Linked DNA regions of Bombyx mori. The main gene of each other region encodes a partner of the protein of the gene in region 2 in a complex. Links are inferred from orthologs where the notes say so. Each region holds a gene or a part of one and is shown on either strand. Other genes may lie near its edges.

Region 1 (3,747 bases), on a different chromosome or scaffold from region 2:
TAAAAACAGAAACTTTCGAAATGTTGCAAATTTCGACAAGAGATGGTTTTTGAACTGCCATAAAACCAAAATTCTACATTAATAGCGAACACATAGTGAATAGTAAACAAATTTTAGTTTGATCCTACGTTAATTTAGACTTCAGGTGAGCGAGTAATGATATTCTGGAACGTATCGATCTGCTGCAAATAGCTAGCCGACGAACAAACCAACACGGTCCCCACTAGACCGCGTCGACCGCGGACTATACAGATACACACCAATCACTGACAGATGACGTTATTTCCCCGAAATAACTAGCTGTGCTTTTAATTTACCTTTAATTAATTTACGGTAAATGTGCTGTATTGTGTTATCAAGAGAAGTTTGATTTGATAAACTGAAAAAACCGTGTTTCATTCGGCATTGGTATCGATTTTGTTCGTTACAATATTTACTAAAAGAAAATTGAGGTAAATGAGTACTGTAACCCTCATATTTTGATATTTATAAATTTTTAATATTATATTGAAGTCAGAATATATAAGAATGTTCCATTAGAATACCTTCTTACCAATTGTCGTGCTTTAAAAATCTGTCACAGAAAGAAATGTATTGAGTCAAATGAATTGATGATGATTGATGTCAAATTAATAACGAAAGCATATTATTATACACTACCTTTTCAACTATATAAGTTTAAGCCCCTATTTTAAATATAAAAACTTCAACGTCATTCGTTACAAAAAAAATGAAAAGCTTCGACAAAGACGAAAAGTTCTTTCCAACATTTGGATTTCCCGCCACAAAAATACTAAAATTCAATTATTGTCTATGCCACCAATTTTAATCAACATTTTTTACAACCACTGAAAAACTGAAAAATCTATCTAAAATAACAATTAAGTTTATAGTTACTCTTGTTTCATAAACGTCCTATTATGCGGTTTTATTAAGAATGAAGTCTTTAAGTTTTCATAGTACAAGATAAAATTGAGTGTTGCGTTGCTTGTACTCAACAGTGCAATAGTTTAATATAAATAAAATATAAATATTATTTAGTCAATATTATTTAACAATGGTTTAAGTAGAAATGAATTTCATTAAAATTGGCTTGTAACGAATTTTTTTGAATGAATACCGTTTTTTGTGAAAATTCTATATTTTTAAATTTCATCATTCAATGTTATAACAATAAATTTTAGATATGCCAATTTTGTTTTGAAATTTTAAAGTGGTGGCTCTTTCCTTTCAAACCGTAAAATCAATTTAAAGGCAACTACCCAAGGCGCAAACTCACCAATACGTAATCAACCGGGGCGCGGTGCGGGGCGGTGCTATTTCTCGTACTCATAACGCATGCGCCATCTTTGTCGTCGTTCAATGTCGGAATCAACGAACCATAGACAATTATTTCTTTAAAGGCTACGAAATATTTCCTCGGTTTGTAGGTTATGTTTGAGTGATCAATTGTCAAAATTTTTATGGTGAATTTATAAATTTGTCTCTCTTTATGTAAATGGACGTCATAAAAGTTAAAATAAGCTACTTTAGCCACATATTATCTTAAATATATAAAATTGGTCATCAACATTAGTGAATTAACAAACTGTGTGAATTCCAGAAATTTGACATTGAAATGTTGCGATGTGAACTCAGAAGACAAATAATCGGCTCTAAACTAAACTAAACAGATTTAGAAACAAGAATATCTAGTTCTGTGAACATTTTACACTGTTAAACAATTTTCAACTACAGCTCGATTGCAAAATGACAACGAGTCAGCTCGCAGTATTGAAACTTTACAACATAGTGGTAGACGACGTGATATCCGGAGTGAGAAATTCTTTCTTAGATGACGGTGTAGACGAACAAGTGTTACAAGAACTAAAACAACTATGGAAGACAAAGCTTCAAGCCAGTGGAGCCACGGACCCGTTACAACCTGAGCCGATGCTGCCACCTCCTCCAGTGTTACAGAATTTCCAAAAAGTAAATGGTAGTAATGTAGTGCATAAAAGAACTGACATGGGACATACTTCGGGGCAACAAGAACATAGTGCACCAGCATCTAGTGTAGCTGGAACGCATACTCATCATATTCTAGACCCTAATAATAAAGTGCCAGTTCAGCTTACATTACCTGCTCAACCTGGAGTTCCAGGGTCCCAGCCTCGTTCATTTACCATTCAAATTCCAGCATCAGCTCTGAACGGCAACAAACTGCATCAGGTCTTAACAGGTCCTATAATAAATGCTACCATTAGCCTTCCACAACCTCTAGCTGCTACTTTACTGCAACAACATATCAACTCGGCTTTAGCAGGACAAAAAAGTGATTTTGATAGCGGCGGAGGCGGCCGCAGTGGAACTGCTCCTTTCTCTTTAGATGGTGCTTTGGACTCTTCTGATGATGATGGCTCAAACGTAGGTGATGGTTCAGAAGACGGTGCAGCAGATGATGATGATGATGACGATTCTCCCGAAGAGCGGGCAGAAGAAGAAGAAGAAGAACAAAATGAAAGTGGTGGTGCTGAAGAAGAACCCCTAAATTCCGGTGATGATGTATCTGATGAGGAGCCAGGGGACATGTTTGATACTGATAATGTAGTTGTTTGCCAATATGATAAAATTACACGCAGTCGCAATAGGTGGAAGTTCTATCTCAAAGATGGAATCATGAATCTAGCTGGAAAGGATTATGTATTCCAAAAGGCTAATGGTGATGCGGAATGGTGATTATAGACAGTGTGTATTTTATAGAAAATTATTTGTTATATCTCGGAATTAGGGCTTAAGGTCTCATAATTATTATTTCGTTATTTCGACATGTAATTTGATGTCTGTATGGCAGATATCTGTGTAACAAGATTACGATAAGATTGTTAAACAAATTATGAAAAAAAAAAAACAATCTTTAGTAGGTAGATTTGAAGTTTTCTAAGACACTAGTATTACCAATAGTAAAAAACTCTACCAAGCTCCTTCAGTCTCACTTCCCATTAGTGTGTTTTTTGTACACTACTGAGACTACTACTTACTAATATAATTACAAAAAAAAACACAAAAAAAAATCTAAATGAAAGATATTTATTTGACTTTGTGCTTCTAATATCGAGATACATATCTTGACTTATTGGGTATTAATAATGTACAATACAAAAGAAGTTTGTGAATAATTTTGTTATCTCTTAAGTTGATGCTCTTTAATTTAAATGCCACTATTAAAATTACAATAAATGTGACACATGACCCATGTTTTTTTTATAATATTGAAAATGTCCTTAATTTCATTTGTTTAAACAAAAAATATAATGCATAAATAAACAACTTTTAAATTTAATAAAAATGAGTTAAATTTCCTCTTTAAAAATGAAAAAAATATTTATTACAGAGTATGTAAGATCAAAGATAATTTAAATATCAAACAAATAGTCCTTATTAGAAGCAAACAATTAATTTGGTTTTTTTTTAAATTTCTACATCTCAACAATGGGCAAGGACTGCAAGGGCATGATACTTTAAAATGTAATTATTTCTAATATAATAATATTATAGATAACGTTTAGGGGGTTTTATTTTAATAACGAATTAAATTGCACTCTTAATATTAAGACTTAAAAGGAAAAATAACTACACACAAACTCATATGAAAGCTATTTTTACAGAAGGAGAGTCATCATGTTTCTAATGTAAAAAAAATCAGTTAGGCTGCTTTAAAAAAGTATGGTAAATTTCAAAACAGAGTGCACTTGTCCACAATGATCA
Region 2 (3,999 bases):
GAAGTTTGGCCTATGCACGGAATAACAGCAGAAGAAGTGGCGAGCACCTTTGTAGCCGGTTGGATTGCTCGATTCGGAGTACCTGCTGTCATCACTACCGACCAGGGACGACAGTTCGAGTCGGACCTTTTCAGACGCCTTACTAATTTATGTGGTACTAAACGTATACGCACTACTAGTTACCACCCTTGTGCCAATGGGCTCGTGGAGCGCATGCATAGACAATTAAAGGCCTCTCTGATGTGTTATGATGATTCGTGGTTGAATGCATTACCTTTGGTCTTATTAGGAATGCGTTCGGCTTTTAAAGAAGATCTACAAGCAACAGTAGCGGAATTGCTTTACGGAGAAACATTAACGCTTCCAGGGGAACTGTTAGTACCTCCCGGTCCTTCTGGCTTCGAGGACCCGACGGATTTTGTCGTAAAGTTAAGACAGCGTATGTCTAAATTGCGTCCCACTCCATGTTCCTCACACACTAAACCATCACCTTTCATATTTAAAAATCTTTCCACCGCCTCTCATGTAATGCTCAGGGAGGATTCGGTTAGACGTTCAATGCAACCACCTTACTCTGGTCCTCATAGAGTTATATCTAGAGCCGAGGACGGAAAAACGTGGTCGATTGATGTAAAAGGGAAACAGGTGACGGTCAGTGTCGACAGAATTAAGCCAGCTTTCGTCGAGCATTCTTTAGTAGATCTCGTTCCAGCACCAGCACCGCGGGTTTCTGTGCCTCAACCAGCGCAACCGGATGCTACTAATGTCCCTTCATGTCCACTCGTGCCTTCGGCACCTCTAACTGCTACTCCTACGCATACACCTCAATATACCACCCGATCAGGTCGCAGAGTCCACTTCTCCAAACCTTTCGACCTATGATATTTTTTTCTCTTTTTCTGCGGATTCTCCTTCTCCGTAGGGGGGTGGTGTGGCGTTTTATTATGCGTAAGCCGGAACGCACGAGATGTGGGAAAAAGAATATAGTCTGTGACAATACCTTTTTACCGCCAAAATATGAAAAACAAAAATAATTTATAATGTGATAATAACCAATTTAATGTAATTACTTTATGCCGCTACAACAATAAAATTTATATTGTTCCAACTGTGGTGTTAATTACATAAAACACAACCAGGCGAAATAAAGAAGGGACTCTATATGAACTCCCTCACGTCATTTGTCAAAGATGGTCATATGTCACATGTCAAATTGCTCAAACCGGATTTTAAAGAAACAGGATTTGGAAGTGGAAAATAGACTACATTACAACAGCAATTAAACAAAATACTAATACAATTGATACGTACTTTTAGTGATTGTGTTTAAAAGACGAAAATATGGACCCGGCGCTCTTACGGGAACGGGAAGCGTTTAAAAAGAAGGCACTTGCGACCCCGAGGTCTGTTACATTATTTTTAACTAAACTATTCGCTAGTCCACAACAATGATTGGAGACATACTGGCATCCATCGCACACTTTCTCTGTCACTCACGTAGCCCATACAATTACTATCAATTCACTTCCTTGTGGCAATATTCATTACTGAGTCATTATATAAAGTTATGAATGGAAATATGTGTTTCGAAATACTAAATGAGTAGAAATGTGAACAAATCACTTGTGCAGAGAAAAGTAGAAGATTTAAATGTTAATAAGATATAATATCTTTCCTAATTTAATAGCAGCCAATATTCTAGATAAATATGATCAAGGCACAGGCCCTATTTTTTTAAAGATTATATTGACTGGCATGCCCTAGGTAAATTAGAATACAATGGAAAATGTTTCATTTAATTTAAAGTAATGAATTTTTTCAAAGAATCTGATCAAGCTGACAGCCCACATTATGTTAAGTGATTACCTGAGCCCCTAGATATAATGTGAATGTCACCAATTGTTTTGAAACATGATTTTTATCTAAAATGCTACTTCATCTTATAATCCATTTATGAAAACGTGTTAGAAATGTTTTGCCGTGGAAAAAATTATACAGGTCTATGGTATTTGAATACCAGCATAGTCACACTTGATAAAAGTACACTTTACATGAGCTATAGTTCAACCCATCGAAAGGTTACTGTCAAATTAGAACGAAACAAAATTAATAAAGTATTATTCTTTTCTCTTCAGCATTGAAAAAAAGAAAAGGGATGACTCTGAATTCAAAGATGACAGCAAAAAGAAATCGAAATCATCCAGCTCAGTCAGCTCCGGACCAAAGCTTGATGCTAGTAAGTAAGTAAAGGCTAGGGCAACATAATTAATAATTTAAAATATTCTGTTATCAAAATAACTATTGAATTTACATAGTTACTGTGTTCCGCATAAACAAATATGTGCATCATTTACTAATGCTATTTTCATTAATAAACTAGAAATCACATTTAGTTTTATCTTTTGACTAGGTCAAATTACTATATCAGCAATATCTATTCATGACATCAGTACCATTGCTTCCCATAATTTATTATGCTTTATAGGTAATTTTAATCGCCAATTCTATTAAATAATACTAATAAACTTTTTATAGCAATATCAACTTTTGAATAAAAAAAATTAGAAAAAGCCTTTGGAAAAAAAATTATGAAAAATAAAAAACACAGGATTTATTTGGAATTCGAAAATTTATATTATGATAGCCTTGATACAGGCTATATGTAGCGAGCTTTTTATTGTTAAAAAAATAATTTATCATTTAGTGTATTTGCTAAAATCTTATAAAATATATAAAAAAGAATTGATCATATTTAGTGCTACAATGGATAAAATATTGAGATAGAGCATATAGATACCAGTTCTTTCTCTGTTTGACAACTCTCCCTTTTATTTAATTTAGTAGCTATTAAAGAGCTTTTGTGTTATCAGAAAACAGTTCTAGATTTTTTTTTATATCACTAAGTAACGAAACAAAAGGGAAAATTTAATACTAAATTGAATCTAAACCTTGAGGTGTCAATGATTATGGTCGAATTTAGATCAATAAGCAAACACTAATAATATTATTTTTTGTTATATTATAATTATTGGTTAAATCTGTGATTGATCATCATCCTTTTCAGTTACAAGACTATGACTGGCAGCTCGTCCTATCGCTTTGGTGTGCTAGCGCGTATTGTACGGCATATGAGAGCAAGGCATCAAGATGGAGATGACCATCCACTGTCTTTAGATGAGATTTTAGATGAGACAAATCAATTGGATGTCGGAAATAAAATAAAACAGGTATCTTTTAATAAGTATTGAAATAATAAATAAATTACCTCAATAATAATTACAACAACACACACATTTTCTTATAGCTGATGATAAATGCAATTTTTATTTTATTACTAAGTCTAATGTGCTCACGAACCACCTGGTGTTAAGCAGTTACTGGAGTATATAGACATGAGTTCTAAATCTCACTTTTATATTGCTTATGCTTCAGTAAAGAAATAGGCAGTGTGGTTATATCTACCCCTGCATGCTCACAAGACACCCTATTAACACTAACTGTATCTACATAATGTATAAAAATAATCATGAGTAATTACTTTAGGAAAATGATGGCATTAATTACAGTATTATTATACCCCAGCACACAAGTACCACAACACCCAAATTGATTAAAATGCTTTTTATAAATAATATTCTATTTTAATTGATTTCTCTTTTATAACCTGCTGTAAACATTTTCAAGTGGCTACAAACAGAAGCCCTACAGAGCAATCCTAAAATCGAATGCTCTCCGGATGGAAAGTTTAACTTCAAACCGGTTTATAAAATAAAAGATAAAAAATCTTTACTGAGGTACGTATAATATTTTCATTATTTACATAATTCAAATGTAGTAACTAGAAAACGATTTAAAGATCATCACCTGACAAAAATCATATAAATAAAAAGTACTTGTTCAATTTGCATTTCATTTATTGTAGGCAGCGGTTTGGCTCTGCCCCTGGCATTGCTGAAGTCCATGGGCGACGGTAACTACTCACCATCAGGTGGGCCGTAT
Region 3 (4,106 bases), on a different chromosome or scaffold from region 2:
AAACTGTTTTTGTTCGGATTTCATATCTTTTAGTTAAGTATTATTTTTTGCTCATTTATTACTTAACAAAAATAGACAATAGAATAAAAATATATTACTAGTATATAGTCACTCAGCTTAAAAGCTAATGAAACGCTCAATTAATTAGTGTAATAATAATCAACATCAACTTTTACAAATTTAAACCGAATTAAATTCTGTTTCAAATGTGAACGGTGGATGACGCTGTTCTTAATTATTTCAGATTTTAAAATTGAAATCTGAAAGCTTTGAAACGTCAATCTGCATAAATGTAATTCAAAAACTACAGTAAGAGGCTTAAATAAAAAGCTAAATTTAACTCAGCCTTAATTAAAATTTTTTTCGGAATTTAGTAGTAAAGTTCAAGTTATTTTGATGAAATCAAAACTGAAATATTCATAACATCTTAAACAATCACCTACGAATAAATATTATTTATTATATTATCTATTCAGTAGACAATCACAACGGTTTTATAGTTTTGGGAAGGGATTTTTTGTAACGCCATCTCGTGAAGTATTTCGGTATTACATTAATATAAAATAATTAATAATTGGGAATTTAATTATTTTTATGATCGAACAATCACCAATAGTCATCGAACAAACGATAATTGATCAAAATGAATTAAAATGAATTAATCGATAAAAATAAAGATATCTAGTAAGAGGGGCCCACTTAACGGTGATCATTTATTTAATTAATTATAAATAAACAAAAGACGAACAAACAATTTTTACATTCGAGCATTAACGAACAAACGACGAACAAATAATTAAAAATAAAAAAAATCCGAAAATAAAAAAAGGGGGCCAAATTTACAGAGCCATAACCTACTAACTTAAATATTAAGTGTATGATCTATACCTACGGCACACTGAATTTGGCCCCTCTTTTTTTGATTTTCAAATTTTTTTATTTTTAATTATTTGTCCGTTGTTTGTTCGTTAATGTTCATATGTAAAAAATCTTTGTTCGTCTTTTATTTATTTATAATTAATTAAACAAATGATCACATTAAGTTGGCTCCTTTTACTAGATATCTTTATTTTTATCACTCAGATTAATTAATTTTGATCAATTATCGTTTGTTTGACGACTATTGGTGATTGTTCGATCATAAAAACAATTGAATTCTCAATTATTAATTATTTTATATCTAATAAGCAAACCATCACCTCACGCCAACAAATATAAAAAAATCCAAAATAAAAAAGGGGGCTAAATTCACTGAGCCATTAAGCACATAATATTTGCATGTGTTTAATCTATGATATTTGCTACCATAGATAATAGAGCCTAGGAAAGGCGACGACGACGCATTTGCTTTAATATTTTCCAATTGAAAATACAGAAAGGCCATTAATAGCCTACAGTATATTTTTTAAATACAACACTCGCTTTAGCGAAGATGTATGATACAGAAGATGATCAATACGAAGAGGAAGATGTGGAAATAACACCTGAGCTTTGGCAAGAAGCTTGTTGGATTGTCATCAACGCTTATTTCGATGAAAAAGGTCTAGTGAGACAGCAATTAGATAGCTTCGATGAATTTATTCAAATGTCGGTACAACGTATAGTTGAAGATTCTCCACCCATAGAATTACAAGCAGAAGCACAACATTTCTCTGGTGAGATGGAAACACCACCAAAATATCGTCTTAAATTTGACCAAATTTATTTATCTAAACCTACTCATTGGGAGAAAGATGGAGCTCCATCTCCCATGATGCCCAATGAAGCACGTCTTCGTAATTTAACATATTCGGCACCTTTATATGTTGATATTACAAAAACAATAGAGAAAGAACATGAGGATCCTATTGAAACGCAACATCAGAAAACATTTATTGGCAAGATTCCTATTATGCTTAGATCTACATATTGCTTACTAAACAGTTTGACTGACCGTGACTTGTCAGAATTGAATGAATGCCCCTTAGATCCTGGTGGTTACTTCATTATTAATGGATCAGAAAAAGTACTAATTGCACAGGAAAAAATGGCTACCAATACTGTCTATGTATTCAGCATGAAGGATGGCAAATATGCTTACAAAACAGAAATAAGATCATGTCTGGAACATAGTTCTAGACCGACATCTACATTATGGGTTAATATGATGGCTCGAGGAGGACAAAATATAAAGAAATCTGCTATTGGTCAAAGAATTATGGCAATTGTCCCATATATCAAACAAGACATACCTATAATGATTGTATTCAGAGCTTTAGGTTTTGTTGCTGATAGAGATATATTGGAACACATTATATATGATTTTGATGATCCAGAAATGATGGAAATGGTTAAGCCATCTCTTGATGAGGCTTTTGTCATTCAAGAACAAAATGTAGCACTCAATTTTATTGGAAGCCGAGGAGCACGCCCAGGTGTCACCAAAGAAAGACGTATTAAATATGCTAGAGAAATCTTACAAAAGGAAATGTTGCCACATGTTGGAGTATCAGATTTTTGTGAAACAAAAAAAGCTTATTTTCTAGGCTACATGGTACACAGATTATTATTAGCTGCTTTGGGTCGAAGAGAACTGGATGATAGAGATCATTATGGCAACAAAAGATTAGATTTAGCAGGACCACTTTTGGCTTTTCTATTTAGAGGCTTATTCAAAAATTTACTAAAAGAAGTCCGAATGTATGCTCAAAAATTTATTGATAGAGGAAAAGATTTCAACTTGGAACTTGCTATCAAAACAAAAATCATCACTGATGGTCTTCGTTATTCTTTGGCAACTGGTAATTGGGGTGACCAAAAGAAAGCTCATCAGGCCCGAGCTGGAGTATCTCAAGTGTTGAACAGATTAACTTTTGCATCTACTTTATCCCATTTAAGACGTGTCAATTCTCCAATTGGACGTGATGGTAAACTTGCTAAACCACGTCAATTGCACAATACTTTATGGGGTATGATTTGTCCTGCTGAAACTCCAGAGGGAGCTGCTGTTGGCTTAGTGAAGAATTTAGCATTAATGGCTTATATCTCAGTAGGAAGTCAACCTTCACCAATTTTGGAGTTCTTGGAAGAATGGTCAATGGAAAACTTGGAAGAAATTGCACCATCAGCTATAGCTGATGCCACAAAGATATTTGTGAATGGTTGTTGGGTAGGAATACACAGGGACCCTGAACAGTTGATGGCTACACTACGTAAACTAAGACGTCATATGGACATCATTGTCTCTGAAGTCAGTATGATTAGAGATATAAGAGACAGAGAAATCAGAATCTATACAGATGCAGGTAGAATTTGTAGGCCATTACTTATTGTCAATAATGGTGTCTTATTGTTGAAAAAGAAGCACATAGATGATTTAAAAGAAAAGGACTACAATAACTATGGTTGGCAAAATTTGGTGGCTAGTGGAGTAGTTGAATATATTGATACTTTGGAAGAAGAAACTGTGATGATTGCCATGAGTTTAGATGACTTGAATCAAGTTAAAGAATATGCATATTGTACTACTTATACACATTGTGAGATTCATCCTGCAATGATTCTGGGTGTCTGTGCGTCTATTATTCCATTCCCAGATCATAATCAAAGTCCCAGAAATACTTATCAAAGTGCTATGGGTAAACAAGCTATGGGAGTTTATATCACAAATTTCCATGTTAGAATGGATACACTGGCTCATGTTTTGTATTATCCTCACAAACCCCTGGTTACGACAAGATCTATGGAATACTTACGATTTAGAGAATTGCCAGCAGGAATTAACTCCATTGTTGCTATTCTTTGTTATACCGGATATAACCAAGAAGATAGTGTTATTTTGAATGCATCTGCTGTAGAGAGAGGATTCTTTAGATCCGTATTTTACCGTTCATACAAAGATTCTGAATCTAAAAGAAATGGAGAACAAGAAGAACAGTTTGAAAAACCAACCAGACAGACATGTCAGGGTATGAGGAATGCTCTGTATGACAAATTAGATGATGATGGTATTATTGCTCCTGGTATTAGAGTATCAGGTGATGATGTTGTCATAGGAAAAACTATAACTTTGCCAGAAAATGATGATGAGTTGGAAGGTACAACAAAACGATTTACAAAGCGAGATG
Region 4 (4,010 bases), on a different chromosome or scaffold from region 2:
CAATTAAAAAAAACATCTATTTTATCACTTAAAATTAGTTCAGCGCAATCGGACAACTCCGAATGAACATTGACGGAGACCACGCTACCGTGGACATTATTGTAGTCCCAAAGGATTCTGTATATGGGAGAGTAAGCACCTAAATTCGAACGAGTGAGCTTTCTTATAAACGGTTTATATTTCTTCGGTCTTGGTAAGTACTTAGGGGCTGATATTTTTATCTGGGTTAAGAGATTAGTTATGTCGGTTATTCCATGGATTAATCAGATGAATACCCCCACTCTGAACAAATATTAAATATTTTATAATGTATTACTTAGACATTTTTGTCCACCTCGAGATTTCATTGTTCTTGTTACATGTCTGTGCAAAATCGACTTACTTATATTAAATTGCTTGGCTATTTCAAGTAAAGACTTATTCCCAATTTCATAGGCTTCTATTGCTGTTTTTAATATTAAGGGATCATATCTCTTATAAGGCTTTGCACTCTTTGATACGTAAACGCGAGGCATATCTAAAAATAGAAAACAATACGTAACTGATAATATATTTACCAAACAATAAAATAACACATTGATAATTTTAAATAAAAGTTCTAGACAAAGACATCATGAATAAACCAGATTTTTACCAACAAATTTAAAAAATATTGTTATAACTACATAGACAACCCTACAAACCTGTACCTATTTATACTTAGGTGGTTTCCATTTCACGTATTCTCATCCCAATTGACCCCTTTTTCGTTGTTATTTGTACCTAAGACGTCCCTAATATCCCCCAAAACAACAGATTTTTACATGTATTTTTATTTTATCAAATACATTAAAACCAATAACAACTGAGACTTACCTTTAATATATATGATGGTTCAAACACTAAATAACGTTTATAAATCACAGTCGTCTTCTATTATTATCAAATAAATAAAAGAGAGCAAAGTTTCTAGCACTAAAATAATTTCCAACACAGGAAGTTAATTTGAAACGCGATTTTTTATAAGTTAGCAGCTATTATCATGCATATTCAGAGTTTTTTTGTGAACTTTCAACATTCTACTATTAAACTACAAAAAATGGAAGATTTTGCAACGAATATAAAACTAATATTGTGCGTCGCAAGATTTTCCCGGTTTTTTCCCGATTCGCCTCTCAATCCCTAATCGCCCCATTTTACGGTATTTATTATATTAATCTGTGGTTAAGCTGTCACCATAGATTATACACTTAATATTTTCGAGAGCTGTCACTTATGTAGGTCTTTTGTGGAAGTGCAAGTAAATTTTCTAAGATTTAGTTATAGTTAAAGGAAATCTTTACGACTTTAGTACTTTTAAAGGCCGTTAAAATAGTGTCCGCTATCGACTGCTAATAGATTTTATATTCCACAACAATGACCGAATTGGACTTATCAAATACTGGTAGAGGAGTATGGTTGGTAAAAGTACCTAAATATATAGCAAACAAATGGGAAAAAGCTCCTGGAAACATTGAGGTAGGAAAACTAAAGATCTCCAGAGTACCAGGAACGAGAGCTAAAGTGCAGTTATCCTTGTCAGAAGCAGTGCTATGTTTAAAGGACCCTGGTGAACAAAGCATACCAAAAGAACATAAGCTTGATGTTTCAAACGTTAATACTCAATCTCTAGGTGTATTTTCGCATATTGCCCGTAAGTAGTCTCATAATTATCTATATTTAACGCCTCCTAACATGTCCTGGTGAACTCAATGATAAAATTAATTTCATGTCTAAAGTTCGATATTATATTAATCGTGTTTATTCATAATATAACCATTTTAGCGACAAATACGGACTCTGTAGTACCAGAGACAGAAAACCTTTACATGGAGGGTAGGATTGTACAGAAATTGGAATGCAGACCAAATGATGATGTGACATACTATAAGCTTAAATCTGAATCAATAAAGAAAGCATCCATGCCTCAGCGACAAGTGCAACAGCTTGACAGGATTGTTCAGAACTTCAAACCAGTATCTGACCATCCACATAATGTATGTTTACTGTTGAAATCTAAAGGATTGATTTACTGTATTTTTCAGCAACTGATCATTAAAACATGCCCCTGACTGCATTGGAAGTCAAACTAGAGATGATTAAAAAGTTTTAAATAGAGCATGTGTAGAGCTCTGAGATCTCCAGATGCAGTTCAATACTCTTTGGATATGTTGTTGAATGAAATGCTTCATATAAATTCTACTAGAAGTATTAAAATACAGGTTGCAGCAATGTCTGCTCCCATTGTATAGCAAAGTTATCATTTAGACAAACTCGAAAATAAAAACATGATTGATCAATATAAAAAATTATAAATTGTGTAGTTATTGATAGCTACTTATCTGATAACAGTCCTCCATAGGTTAGGAATTAATGGGACATAAGTAGTGATTGATATAATTGGAATGGTGGAACGGTAAATAGGGAATGTTTAGTAGCTTGGGATGGCCAAGACTGTAAAATTTGCATCTTGAGCTGGTATAAAATACAATAGGTACTTCCACCTTTTATCTGAAGATGGGTGGGCATTCATATATGTGTGGTATTGGTACAGATAGTAGGGTGTGTGTAGATATTGCTCCTGCTTATGTTTACAGCAAATCATTGTGTGCTTAGTGTGAGTTTTTAACTTCTTGATCAAACGGCCGTCTGGTGTAGTGGTAAGTGACATGGTCACTACACAAGGAGGTCGCGGGTTCGAATCCCGCCAAGGTAAGATATTTGTATGATAAATGTAAATGTCTTTCCAGGGTTATGGGTGTACATTAAATATATGTATGTGTATAATAAAATATTATATTTATTTCCGTTATCTGGTACTTGTAACACAAGTTCTTTACGAACTTAGCACGGGACCAGTTAACGTGGCGTGATTGTTAGTAAATATTTATATTTATATTTATTTATATTTAAAAAATAACTCAAATTTGTATGAAGTTGGAATAGCGCCCCTGCGTTTGCTTCTTGGGGTGCTGTTCCAACTCTGATCGAGAAGTTAAAAAGTTCACACTAAGCACATTGGTTTGAAGGAAAACCTCATACAATAGAATTGAGATTTCGACTTCTCAAGGTTTTTGGTGCTATTCATGTTATGATGACTAGTGAGGTAACCACTTTACACTGGGTGGACCACGGGGTTCTTCACTCATCTATATAGTAAATTAAATTATAAACATCAGTAAATAAAAACAAATGGCTCTGTATATTTTTACTTTCTATGAGCTCTTAAACCAACCAGAAAACTTTTCACAAGTGACACAATGAATAACAACAGGTTTTAAAATTTCTTAAGTTGTTTTACTTTTTGTATTCTATTAAGTTTATTTCATTTCATTATGTTAATCATGCTTTTTTTAATTTTGTATATTAAAATTTCGTAAAATATTTAGATTGACTACCAAGAAAGGAAGAAGGCTGAAGGGAAAAAGGCTCGTGATGATAAAGAAGCAGTGCTCAATATGCTGTTTGCAGCATTTGAGAAACATCAGTATTACAATATTAAGGATCTTCAAAAGGTAATAAATACTATTCTGATGATTTTATATTTGTCTAAACATAAAATTATTAACACATTATTAAGCAAAAAATTTAATCATTGTCTTAATAAAAAAAATAAAGGCCAAAAGAAACTGTTTCACTGTATATATTATATTCTAATTTTGATAATACTGTTCATACTTTGAAACTGAGAATAGTAGTGACTTTGAATTTAAAATTAGATGTTCATAAAAAAAAACACATCTAATTGCATTTTTTTTTATTGCTTTGATGAATGGACGAGCTCACAGCCCACCTGATGTTAAGTGGTTACTGGAGCCCATAGACATCTACAACGTAAATGCGCCACCCACCTCGAGATATAAGTTCTAAGGTCTCAGTATAGTTACAACGCCTACCCCACCCTTCGAACCGAAACGCATTACTGCTTCACGGCGGAAATAGGCGGGGTGGTGGTACCTACCCGTGTGGACTCCCAAGAGGTCCTAGTGAAT
Region 5 (3,516 bases), on a different chromosome or scaffold from region 2:
CAAAGCATCAAAAATGGCGACCTTTAAGCTTACGTTATTTCATGCGGAAAGAGATACTATCAGTGTGCTTAGTGCGAGTTTTTTAACGTTCTCGATAGCGTAAAAGTTAGCTCATATTTGTAAGGAATGGAATCGTTTACGTACGTTTGCCGCTAGGGGCGCTGTTCAAACTGCATACAGAATTGGCTTAACTTTTACGCTATCGAGAACGTTAAAAAACTCGCACTAAGCACACAGGAGCATTATTGCGACCTCTTACCAAATATCCTAGTGCCGCCGCAAAAGACATTTTAATTACATTTGAAAGTAAATTAATTAAATACGCCACTAATATTAAATAAAAATTAAATTATGTATAATTTTTTTCAATATAAATCGATTTAAACAATAATAAGTAAGGTTAATTTTCAAGGCTTACAGATTATAACCTAACCTCTTAAATCTTTTTATTAACTCGGCATTTGTATTATTTACCTGGACTCCACGCTCAAAACACTCTAAAATCCATTCCACTTGAGTTTACGACAGTAACGCTCACAAGCAAGTGGAACGGAAAAAATTGCGGTCGTGAGCGTGATCGTTGTGAACGCTTAGTGGAACGCAGCCTATAAGTGTGGGAAATGTCATCCTCCTCCGTCCGCGTCCCTAGTGTGTGACGTCACCCGGGTCGTGTAATGTTTCAGAGACGCAGAAGACGGGTCCGCCGTTATCACTCGCGCCGGCTTCCAGTTTCTGCTCCTGAGTACACCCAAGCAGGTCGGTTCAGTGTCTGAGCGATGAGCCCGGCCAGCCCGGCCCTCGCGGGGCGGCGGGTGTGACGCGTGTGTGTGCGCAGGTGTGGCTGTTCCTGCAGCACTACCTGCACACGGCCGAGCGCCGCAGCCTCAGCGCCGCCGAGTGCCTGGCCTTCCTCTACCAGCTCAGCTTCAGCACCCTGGGGAAGGTGACTATAATCATTTTTTCCAATGTTAAACTTTTATTGCTAAGATGGACGAACGAGCTCACGACCGCCCGCTGGTCGCCAGAACTCATAGACAAGAACAACAACGTAATTGTTGCCATCCGTTTCAATGCGTTAAATCTTATGAATCTGAACTATACCCATAATATAAACCTTATGAATATTATTCAATCTTAAGAATTTATGTGTCAGTCTCTTTTTACTGTCGCTTTTTTAAAGGTGGCCCGACATGAAAACTCTTGTCGTGGCCGCTGGGAACTACATACCCGATCCTGTAGACCGAATAGTAAATAGTCGAAGTCGCCCTAAATACGTCATTTTGGATCCTCCCGATCCATTAACGGTGCTTTTAGGTACCTCAAGCACCGGTCACCGTCCTCGTTGAACCCGTCGCTTGCGACGAAGGGCTCAACGAGTGAATTAACTCATAGACACAGCCGGACTCGCCGGATCTTCTCAGTGGGACGCGTTTCCGATCCGGTAGTAGATTCTGCGAAGCACTGCTCTTGCTAGGGTCAGTGTTAGCAACACCCCCGGTTAAGCCCCGTGAGCTCACCTACACGTCAAGGAGAAGCTGAAAGAGCCTCCCAAGGCTACAAGTCCAGGTAAGCAAAAAAAGTCGCTTTTTAATTTCATCGTCGTGGCCTAAAGGATGAGACGTCCGGTGCATTCGTGCTGACCGATGCACCGGTGTTCGAATCCCGCAGGCGGATACAAATTTTTCTAATGAAATACGTACTCAACAAATGTTCACGATTGACTTAACATCGTGTAATAAAAATCAAACCCGCTAAATTATAATTTGCGTAATTACTGGTGGTAGGACCTCTTGTGAGTCCGCGCGGGTAGGTACCACCACTTTGCCGATTTCTGCTTCCCAAGTTTTCACTTCAAAAAAACCTGTTCCGTACCGTATCGTTATCACTCGGAGCCTGCGCGCTGTCCGCCGGAACAACACAATCATTCAAACTACTTGAGCGGCTTATCCCGCGCTGTCTGTTGCCTCAATGTCGTTAACGACGTGCTCAATGGTCCAGTAGCCGGGGCCGCCGCCCGCACTGTTACACTGACACTAGAACACGCGGGAATGTACGTCAGAGCAGACTTCATTACGCCCACAACTCGCGAGTACCTATACAAATCGGACTTTGTTTAAAAATATCATCAATTTAAAAAATATATTCTAATTGCTTTTTAAAATATACAATATAGTTATTTTTTTATTCTCCTCCTTCTTGCGTCGTATTCCTCTCACTGCTGAGGGTCGCGACCACCCTTCTGTATCACCTTCGCACGCATGACCTTTCTCCAACTATTTTTGTCTCTGGCGGTGTGGAGGGCGTTGTGAAGTGTGGGATCAAGAGCGGTGCGGATCTGGTCGGACCAACTTATCGGGAAGCGCCCCCGAGGCCTTTTCCCATCCACTTCATAATTATTTGAAAATGTTCAATACGATACAACATCTCTGAATATGTGTCCGGATTGTATGTAATATATGTAATGTGTGTAATATACTGCGGGATGGACAAGTTCTAAAAGTGTTCACGCTTAGAGTTGAAATTATATAAGTGTTTTGAAATTATCAGTAAGACTGTAATAAAATTGATATCTGTTTTTTTTTTAAGAGATTTTATGACCTAGTAACCGAGACCTTTAAGTCATGTCTTATTTTACTTTATATTCTTAATTTTATGAAAAATGATAATATGGAGTGAAATGAAATGAATATGATTAATTTGAGACATTAATCAACTGGGATGAAATGAAATTTAATGAAATGAAATGATATGGGATGAAATATAATCGCAGTAAAATGGTGGTCATTTACTGAGATTTTTTCAGTGGACTTTTTGGAGGAACCCGAGAAGTTACGTCCAGCAGCTTTGTTTCATTTTCCCACATTTGTGCACTTTCACAGATATTAAACAGTTAATAAACCACCATTATTACACATTTAAACCCGAAGAAACACTAAATAGACAAAATAAAACAAATCACACAACTTCACTCCTCGCGTTCCCGCTAAAAAGTCATTGATATCTGAGCCTTACAAAGAGCACAGATACAGCACAGAGTATATGTGGTATGTGGAAAATTATTAACTTAAAGTATCTGTTTGAATGAATTCAATCGTGATGACATTTGAGGTCAAGCATATTTTATAAAAGAAATGTATTGATCAAGTTAATATTTATTAAAATATTTCATTAAAAATTGGTTTTCTGTAATTCAACGCTCATTTAATATCATACAAAAATAGATAGATGAGGTCTGTTTTATTTTAATATAAGAATAAAATAAAAGAGTGCCGCGCGTCTCGTCCGCAGGACTACAGCACGGAGGGCATGAGCAACAACATGCTGGTGTTCCTGCAGCACCTGCGGGAGTTCGGCCTCGTCTACCAGAGGAAGGTCGGTATCTGCGCGCCACTCGGGCGTCGCGGAGCTGCCCCGCGCCACACTATATGGCATTGTAACTGTCTGTCTGTGGGCAACCGTGGGCGGGCGGACACCGGACGTCCGAGTGGCGACTAGGGTCCGCCGCGCGCGGGGACC

Evidence for each region.
Region 1: general transcription factor IIE subunit 2 (region 2) and transcription initiation factor IIA subunit 1 share a complex: the UniProt entries of both Homo sapiens proteins name them as parts of the TBP-based Pol II pre-initiation complex. The link is inferred for Bombyx mori from reciprocal best matches to the Homo sapiens genes GTF2E2 and GTF2A1.
Region 3: general transcription factor IIE subunit 2 (region 2) and DNA-directed RNA polymerase II subunit RPB2 share a complex: the UniProt entries of both Homo sapiens proteins name them as parts of the TBP-based Pol II pre-initiation complex. The link is inferred for Bombyx mori from reciprocal best matches to the Homo sapiens genes GTF2E2 and POLR2B.
Region 4: general transcription factor IIE subunit 2 (region 2) and general transcription factor IIF subunit 2 share a complex: the UniProt entries of both Homo sapiens proteins name them as parts of the TBP-based Pol II pre-initiation complex. The link is inferred for Bombyx mori from reciprocal best matches to the Homo sapiens genes GTF2E2 and GTF2F2.
Region 5: general transcription factor IIE subunit 2 (region 2) and general transcription factor IIH subunit 4 share a complex: the UniProt entries of both Homo sapiens proteins name them as parts of the TBP-based Pol II pre-initiation complex. The link is inferred for Bombyx mori from reciprocal best matches to the Homo sapiens genes GTF2E2 and GTF2H4.

The regions. Positions count from the first base shown.
Region 1 is NC_085117.1:13,411,124-13,414,870, forward strand, and holds transcription initiation factor IIA subunit 1, read left to right. Parts: upstream 1-1,227; 5' UTR 1,228-1,749; coding exon 1,750-2,718; 3' UTR 2,719-3,231; downstream 3,232-3,747. UniProt on the Homo sapiens protein: TFIIA is a component of the transcription machinery of RNA polymerase II and plays an important role in transcriptional activation. TFIIA in a complex with TBP mediates transcriptional activity.
Region 2 is NC_085118.1:15,267,050-15,271,048, forward strand, and holds the start of general transcription factor IIE subunit 2, read left to right. Parts: upstream 1-1,197; 5' UTR 1,198-1,341; coding exon 1,342-1,403; exon of another isoform or gene 1,404-1,407; intron 1,408-2,135; coding exon 2,136-2,240; intron 2,241-3,064; coding exon 3,065-3,227; intron 3,228-3,684; coding exon 3,685-3,794; intron 3,795-3,999. UniProt on the Homo sapiens protein: Recruits TFIIH to the initiation complex and stimulates the RNA polymerase II C-terminal domain kinase and DNA-dependent ATPase activities of TFIIH. Both TFIIH and TFIIE are required for promoter clearance by RNA polymerase.
Region 3 is NC_085110.1:13,229,991-13,234,096, forward strand, and holds the start of DNA-directed RNA polymerase II subunit RPB2, read left to right. Parts: upstream 1-1,292; 5' UTR 1,293-1,432; coding exon 1,433-4,106. UniProt on the Homo sapiens protein: Catalytic core component of RNA polymerase II (Pol II), a DNA-dependent RNA polymerase which synthesizes mRNA precursors and many functional non-coding RNAs using the four ribonucleoside triphosphates as substrates.
Region 4 is NC_085110.1:12,712,209-12,716,218, reverse strand, and holds the start of general transcription factor IIF subunit 2, read left to right. Parts: upstream 1-1,203; 5' UTR 1,204-1,395; coding exon 1,396-1,672; intron 1,673-1,803; coding exon 1,804-2,015; intron 2,016-3,407; coding exon 3,408-3,533; intron 3,534-4,010. UniProt on the Homo sapiens protein: TFIIF is a general transcription initiation factor that binds to RNA polymerase II and helps to recruit it to the initiation complex in collaboration with TFIIB.
Region 5 is NC_085125.1:212,801-216,316, reverse strand, and holds part of general transcription factor IIH subunit 4, read left to right. Parts: intron 1-683; coding exon 684-756; intron 757-835; coding exon 836-943; intron 944-3,288; coding exon 3,289-3,372; intron 3,373-3,516. UniProt on the Homo sapiens protein: Component of the general transcription and DNA repair factor IIH (TFIIH) core complex, which is involved in general and transcription-coupled nucleotide excision repair (NER) of damaged DNA and, when complexed to CAK, in RNA transcription by RNA polymerase II.